Macaca fascicularis: one gene and its partner. The protein of the gene in region 2 interacts with the protein of the main gene of each other region in a pairwise test. Links are inferred from orthologs where the notes say so. Each region holds a gene or a part of one and is shown on either strand. Other genes may lie near its edges.

Region 1 (3,771 bases), on a different chromosome or scaffold from region 2:
AAAGCTAATTGTTAGGAAGCCACATCCCCCGACCCTTATTTTTAGAATAGCAATAATATTTTACCACATCTGTCATGCTATGGAAAAAAATAGAATCTGGCTTAAATGTGAATACAAAGGTTACAGAGTCTATATTTTACCATCATTAATGCTGAATTTTATATTTCAATAAGAATCTTCAGAATTTTAAGAAATTTGAGAATTAAAAAAAATTAATATACTCAATTAGAATATTTTCACATGAGACTATAAAGATTTGTATTTCTAACAAAAAATTAGCCGGGCATGGTGGCAGGCACCTGTAATCCTAGCTACTTGGGAGGCTGAGGCAGGAGAATCACTTGAACCCGGGAGAAGGAGGTTGCAGTGAGCCGAGATCATGCCATCACACTCCAGCCTGGGCAACAAGAGCGAAACTCTGTCTCAAAAAATTAAAAAAAAAAAAAAGATTTGTATTTCTAAATGCAATTTTACAATTCCCTTAAAGAACGTACCTGAACTTCCGGACACTACAGAACATTCTAGAACGGACCTGTCCCGTGATTTGGCAGCACTGCATGAGATTTGTGTGGCTCATTCAGATGAACTTCGAACGCTCAGTAATGAGCGTGGTGCACAGCAGGTAGGCTTTTGCCAGCCTTCATTAACAATGATGTTTCAAGGATAACACTTTGAGAGGTGGTAAATAACTGAATTCTGGTTAACATTTTTTCTTGTTACATTAAATTTTTGAGACTCTGCATCATATTAACAAAAGATCTCAGCAGACAGAAATAACGGGCCCAGACTAAAATGATGTACATTTAATACTGAAAAACATCAGGTTTTGCTCTTGAGTCTGCATCTTAATTCTACTGGAAAGCAGTGTAACTGTTAACATACTTTGGCGACGTATGTGAAAATGGCTAGTAAGTCAGTATTGATTTTTTTTTTCTTTCAGTTTCTGTCTCTTCTCTGTCACATACAGATACAGTGCATGGCCAAAGTGATTCTCAAATTGTGAAACAAATGATTATTATTTGGGATGTTTGTCAAATTCACATCCAGAGATTCTGAAGTGTGGCCTTGAAAGCTGCACATCTAGCAAACTCTTCCAGGAATTTATAGGGATTCTGATGCAAGTGAACCATGGCCTACACTTTTGAGAAACAGTAGACTACATTGATAGACTTTTCTATCTGCCATCTGCACCAAACAGATACAGATTAGGATGTATTCAAAGAGACTTAACACCAGGTCAATTAAGATACTGGAGATACAGAACAAAACGGGTTACATTTTCAATGTCCTCAGCTGACATAAGGGCCACTGAGAAGAAGTGACCACAGGGACAGTTTTGACTAGTTTCTAATGTAGTTTCAGGAGATAGTGAATGCTGTCACCGCACTGGCTAACCATTTGGCAGGGATTTTGTAGAAGGGATTAAAGCATTGAATTTGGTGACTGAGTTCTCTACAATCTGAGATTCTAGAATCCTCAAGTCCTGTTCCTCCGAGCCCCCCACCCCCCAGCTTTCAAAGCTAATAATATGACTTGCCTTAAATATTAAATTAAAAGACCTTTAAAGAGAGGTAAACTGCTTCTGGCAAAATGTGATAGTGATAGTTCTGGCCTAAAAAACAGGAGCATGCCAAACACAAATTTCTGTTCACTATATATAAAAATTCTCTTAGTTATGACCAGAAATACTCAGCCAATGACTGAATAATAGAAACTTATGTTTTGAGTGGAATTGTGCTAATATTTTATGCATCCCTTTGCTTTGATATGGCTTTTTTCAAATCCAGGTTCCCATCCTGAAATTGCTGACCGAGCTTTCATTTATTTTCATACCATTTTTCCTCTGTCTAGCACGTACTGAAAAAGCTTCTGGCTATAACAGAACTGCTTCAACAAAAACAAAACCAGTATACAAAAACCAATGATGTCAGGTAGCAGCCTTCGCCCCAGTGTTCTGCATGGATTCATCATGCCCAACATGGTAATTCACTTCAGTATAATATCTCCTTTGCTCTTGCCAAAAAATAGCACACTTTTCCACATTCCAATGATGTGTGAGCTATGCAAACAAAATCCAAGATTCTGCTAGTGCATAACTATGCCAGCAACCTTGTAAGCTATCTGTGCAGGATATTTGCACTATTTCCACATGGAATCAATCTTTAACAACCTCTGAGCCTTGGTGTACAGATCACCTTTCACAAAACAAAATGCTATGACTGTATCTTGAACTTTGAAAATATATTTTCAGTACACCCAGTTGCCAAAGTTTTGCTCTCTCTTAGAGAAAGAACTATGAAATCAACTGACACATTCTCTTATTGACAATTGTGTATAACTGGATTGCAGACTGTTCTTACTGTAACTACTTCCTGATTAGGAATATGACCATTTGACTGTTCAATGATTATTTGTATTTACAGTTTCCAGAGTTTGTCATTATAATAGGAACAATCTTTGCTGTATACTTTTAAAAAATACTGTGCTATTTCTCTTGCTGGAACTGTTGAAAGAAAATATATAGAATGATCTATTGCTCATCAGCTTTATTTTTTAAACATACTACTTATTTTGTTGAAATTGTCAAAGACTGTATTTAGATCTCATAATGCTTTGTTAAATGTTTACAACAGTAAATAGTTTGAATTCAGTAAATATTATTGGTTGTTGTATTGATCAATGCATGTTACCCCTTCATTTCATAGACTACCAGTTTCTTTTATGTTAACTAGAATGTTTTTGTTAAAAGTTATTTGTTCATTATTTGTGCTACCCTACCCCTTTGATTATGCAGACAAACCTCATCAGCTGCCTAACTTATCCATCTTTGAACTTCTGACTACTTGTTGTATCTGCTGGACATTTAGTTCAACTGTATAGTTTTATTTACTTCTGTATGTGTATTTTTGTGAAGTATTCACAAAGGTTAAGTTAAAATAAAACCAAGGGATATCTTGCATAATTGATTACTTCTGTCTAAATAGAGCTAAGCATTTAATTTATTTTCTTCCTCCTTCAGGGGCAGTTTAAACCTTAGCACCAGAGCAAGGCCCAGGGAGAAGCTGAAGCTTTAGATCAGTATTTTTGCTAATGGCCTCTTTTGAAAAGGATTCTATATATGCAGCAATTCCTTCCATCTCATAATTGTGCAGGGCAGGTATGACATATGGAACATATGTGGCAGAATGACATTGGTAATAAAAGTGGGTGAGACAGGAACCCAAGGAGGTGTTCTTACAGTAAGGAAAGGCCTAGATTCCAAGAGCAACACTTTATGCTGTTCCTCTAATGTATAAAATACAGGAAAAAAAAATGCTAAAGGTTTAAAAGATGTCTGCTTAACAGTTTCAAGCTACAAAAGGCAATTATTTCTATGGGGGCTGCTAACCTCTGTGGCTTCAATCACAGTTTAACATTGATACCAAAAATCTCAACATGTCCCGTGCTCCTTTTCCTTGAAATCAACTCAATTCATTCCATTCTCTCCCTTCCTGGCTTTTTTATCAAATTACTCTCCTTTCCATCCCTTCTGTTTTATAGCTGGACTTGGAACAACCCAGGTGGTCTCCTTCCTTAGTTACATGATAGAAGACAGGGAGGATATGGACTAGTCAAGATATTTTGCTATGCACTTTGGTTCCCACTAATCACGCCTCAATCTTTAGCCATACTAACCTGTCAGTCTGAAATCCTTCTCCCTTTTATTTAAAATCACAAACCTGACTCATCCTGCTGCTTATATTTTAACATCATTTGTCTCTCAAGTTGAAA
Region 2 (3,826 bases):
GAAAATGGTAACTACATTATAACAAAATAAAAATCCTTCTTACAACTCTCATTCATACATTATTCACTTTTGATCCATACAAAATAAATTTACTAATACTGTCTCTTGAGTCAATCCTTACCATTCCAGTAAAACCTGAATAAAGACCACCCTTCTAAAAAACTTCACTGGTTTGAGTTGGTTTTCTTGTTGTTTTTTACTATGATTCCTATTTTTCATTACCACTTAAATATATTTCAAGGGCATTCTAAAGGAAAAAAAAGAAAGAAATGTAGGAAAAATAAAATAAGACAAAAGGTCATAAAACCAGAAAACCTATTGATAAGAACAAACCCAATTAATAAACACATGTGGCTTTCGGGAATGCCGTTAACAACCAAAGGCGGGGGAAAAAGCCTTTCCTAGGCGGGTTAAATTTACAGGGATTTCCTTGGGCCACACAGTTTCCTATATTCCCAAACATAGTGTCCTAAAGCGTTTCTGTTACAAACACAAAAATGCAAAGAATTCTAACAGGGAAAACGTTTTGATGCTTGATTTAAGAGTAAGTGTTATCACGTTCAGTTTTTACATCTCAACTTAAACAAAACAAAACCCTGTGGATCACAGCCAGTAAGGCCGGAGGGAGCAGTTCATCCCTGAACTAATCCATACTGGTTAAAACTACATCACTATTTGCAATCAGGTCTACAAAGAAACTGCATTTGAAATGGGTGTCAGAGCCAATCTATATTCAATCAAAGTACAAAAGAGGTTGGTGGAGAAGGAATACGCTTAGTAACTTGGAAAAAAAAAACAACAAAGCATAAACGGACAAGGGTGTCGGGTCCCCTTTCTGGGTGGATTCACGGGTAGTCAGATATTCCAGGTTAAACTGAACCTGACGCATCAATCTCCTTCTTGGAGGTGTCTCAGTGTGCCAGACACTGAATCCATCTTAGACATCTATTGCCATTCAGCCAGCAACAAACACACATTCACACTCCTCTGTGCAAACCTTTCTTTGCTCATCTTGGTGAGAAAACACGTCAAAGAGTACCAGCTATTCCAGTGGATACACCAGTCCCTCAGCACACTGCAAATAAAGCGACACAGGTACGCATACACCGATATCACGAGAGAATGAAGTATCTTCATTATCTTCCATAATGTATCTAAAGAGTTTTGCTTCTCAGAAGCAATTTGAATAAGAATACAAATACATTTTTTTTGCACAGTCTTACATATTCCAGTCAAGGTCTATGAATACAGACCCTCAACAAACAGGAAGCAGCTTTAAAAATGTATCAAATTGCTATAGTCAATTCCTACACTCCAGCACGTAGTTTTCTTTGTTTCAGGATTAGACACAGAACCCATTCTTCAAGGACTGGCAAAGGTTCTAGAAACAAACACCCTGGTGGTGGAAGCGGTTGCTTTGCTTCAGTGATCACCTAGATTTGGTGTCTTTGGTTTCAGTGTTCTGGTTACTGAAGGAATCCCGGATCTTTACAACTTCAGCTGCACACAAATGTCCAAAAGATTTTGTGTACCACTCTGGCATGTGGCCCCTATCAGAGAAAAGAAAGAAAAGCAGATGAATCATTTAAGTTAGAAAGCATGGAAATAAAATGACAAACGTCTGTTTGCTAGTTCAAATGCATAAAATCTATCACTTCCTGTGGCTTTGAATTCATGGCCAAGCTACCGTATTTGCTTTGCTTTAGAACTACATTTTCTAAGGGATCCAAATTAGGAAGCGGTCGCTGGAAGACCAACAAACATGAAATGCTACTGTATAAACACCACTCTTCATGAAGTCACCAGGAAACAATGATGTGTTCATTTAGGGCATTCTTTGCATTAAACAAAAAGTCTGAATTTCCTTCATGACCCTCACCGTATTAAAAAAATCAGAATCAGAACATACCTTAAGTCAGCTCTGCACATGTAGGTGAGCTTGGATTTTCCTGGCCCACAGGGTTCAATCAAATACCTGGACAAGAGTACATTAACCCTCACACCCACCACAGGAGCCCGATCGTGATCCACGGAGGTCAGTAAAAGGGCACAGGCTCCTTTGGGTAAATTAGTCCTCCAGGTTCTGTAGAGACAAAACCAGAGGCGGAAATGATGCAATTTCATAGAAGCCAAGTTTAAAATCATGCTTCACTCTTCCCTATTTGCAGTGGGGTGATGGGTCAGGCTCAGTGGCTGTGCTGTGTGGCCCAGGCCTAGATAAATGGCATCCTCTAAGCTACTTGCTATGGTGTACATGTGTTCCCCAAAAAGCATGTGCTAGAAACTGAATCCCCAATACAACAGTGTTGGGAGGTGGGGCCTAATGGGAGCTGGATTAATGGCAATTATAAGAGCTTGAGGCTGGGTTCCGTGGCTCACGCCTTTAATCCCAGCACTTTGGGAAGCTGGGGAGGGAGGATTGCTTGAGATCAGGAGTTCAAGACCAGCCTGGGCAACATAGTGAGACCTCATCTCTACTAAAAATAAAAAATATTAGCCAGGCATGGTGGTGTGCTCCTGTAATCCCAGCTACTTGGGGGTCTGAGATGGTAGGATTGCTTAAGCTGTAATCATGCCACTGCACTCAAACTTGGGCAACAAAGTGAGACCCTCTATCTCAAAATAAATAAATATATAAATAAAAATGGCTTAAAGCTGCACATTTTCTCTTTTGCTCTCCCTTGCCCTCTCTTTGCCCTTCCACTCTGGGAGGACACAGTAAGAAGACCCTCACTAGGCTGGGCATGGTGGTTCATGCCTGAAATCCTGGCACTTTGGGAGGTTGAGGTAGGAGGATCGCTTGAGCCCAGGAGTTTGAGACCAGCCTGGACAATATGGTGAAACCATGTTACCACCAGAAACAATCAACAAGTTAGCCAGGCATGGTGGCACATGCCTGTAGTACCAACTACTGGGGAGGCTGAGGGGGGAGGATTGCTTGAGCCTGGGAGGTGAAGGCTTCAGTGAGCCATGAGCTTGCCACTGTACCCTGGCATGGGTGACAGAATGAAACCATGTCCCCAAATCAAACAAACAAACAACAAACAAACAACCAGATGCAACTCCTTGATCTTGGACTTCCCAGCCTTTAGAACCAAGAGCCAAATAAATATCTGTTCATTATAAATTGCCCGGTCTGTGACATTCTGTTAGAGCAGTATTAGTATTATATGCACGAAGACACTATACAAGGACTCCCGAATGAGGAACTCTGTACAGAGTCGCTGTTACAGAGGGTTTATATGCTCAGACAGCCTCCTCTTTGAAAAAAGAGCCAATTTGAAGTGTAGCTTAAAACAATTTTTTCTATTTCACAAATGTCTTGGAACACAGACACCTAAAGGAGCACTGGCTGTTTGAAAAGGTCTGGACTTCCAACATGACATTTCCTCAAAGATTTTTGGAATTCTTCTTTCAGTAATATCTCAAGAGAATTTATGAATTACACATAAATCAGCCTTAACCACATCTCCCTTGGGACTCAAATGTTATTTCCTGGCTTATTCATTCACTAGCTGTTTCTGACAAGAAAATCTATCCTAAAAGGGGCAAAAATCTGCTACCAATGAGCATATTCATTGGAAGGCGCCTCTCTTTCCGAGCTCAGTTACCAAGGAGTTCAAGCCATTCTCAGTGAGGAACACATTGCTAGAATAAATGTAGATCTGTTTTCCACATTTGAAGGTGTTCACTACTTTTCTGGAGGCATATGTTTTGTTCTGTTTATTTAGAAACAAAGTCTTAGCCGGGCGCGGTGGCTCAAGCCTGTAATCCCAGCACTTTGGGAGGCCGAGACGGGAGGATCACGAGGTCAGGAGATCGAGAC

What was found.
Region 1: the proteins of DLC1 (region 2) and RASA1 interact in binary tests that used the Homo sapiens proteins (3 or more experiments, as listed by UniProt). The link is inferred for Macaca fascicularis from reciprocal best matches to the Homo sapiens genes DLC1 and RASA1.

The regions. Positions count from the first base shown.
Region 1 is NC_088380.1:91,374,573-91,378,343, forward strand, and holds the end of RASA1 (ras GTPase-activating protein 1), read left to right. Parts: intron 1-299; exon of another isoform or gene 300-418; intron 419-487; coding exon 488-622; intron 623-1,851; coding exon 1,852-1,935; 3' UTR 1,936-2,959; downstream 2,960-3,771. UniProt on the Homo sapiens protein: Inhibitory regulator of the Ras-cyclic AMP pathway. Stimulates the GTPase of normal but not oncogenic Ras p21; this stimulation may be further increased in the presence of NCK1.
Region 2 is NC_088382.1:16,033,967-16,037,792, forward strand, and holds part of DLC1 (rho GTPase-activating protein 7), read right to left. Parts: intron 2,084-3,826; coding exon 1,910-2,083; intron 1,551-1,909; coding exon 1,430-1,550; 3' UTR 1-1,429. UniProt on the Homo sapiens protein: Functions as a GTPase-activating protein for the small GTPases RHOA, RHOB, RHOC and CDC42, terminating their downstream signaling.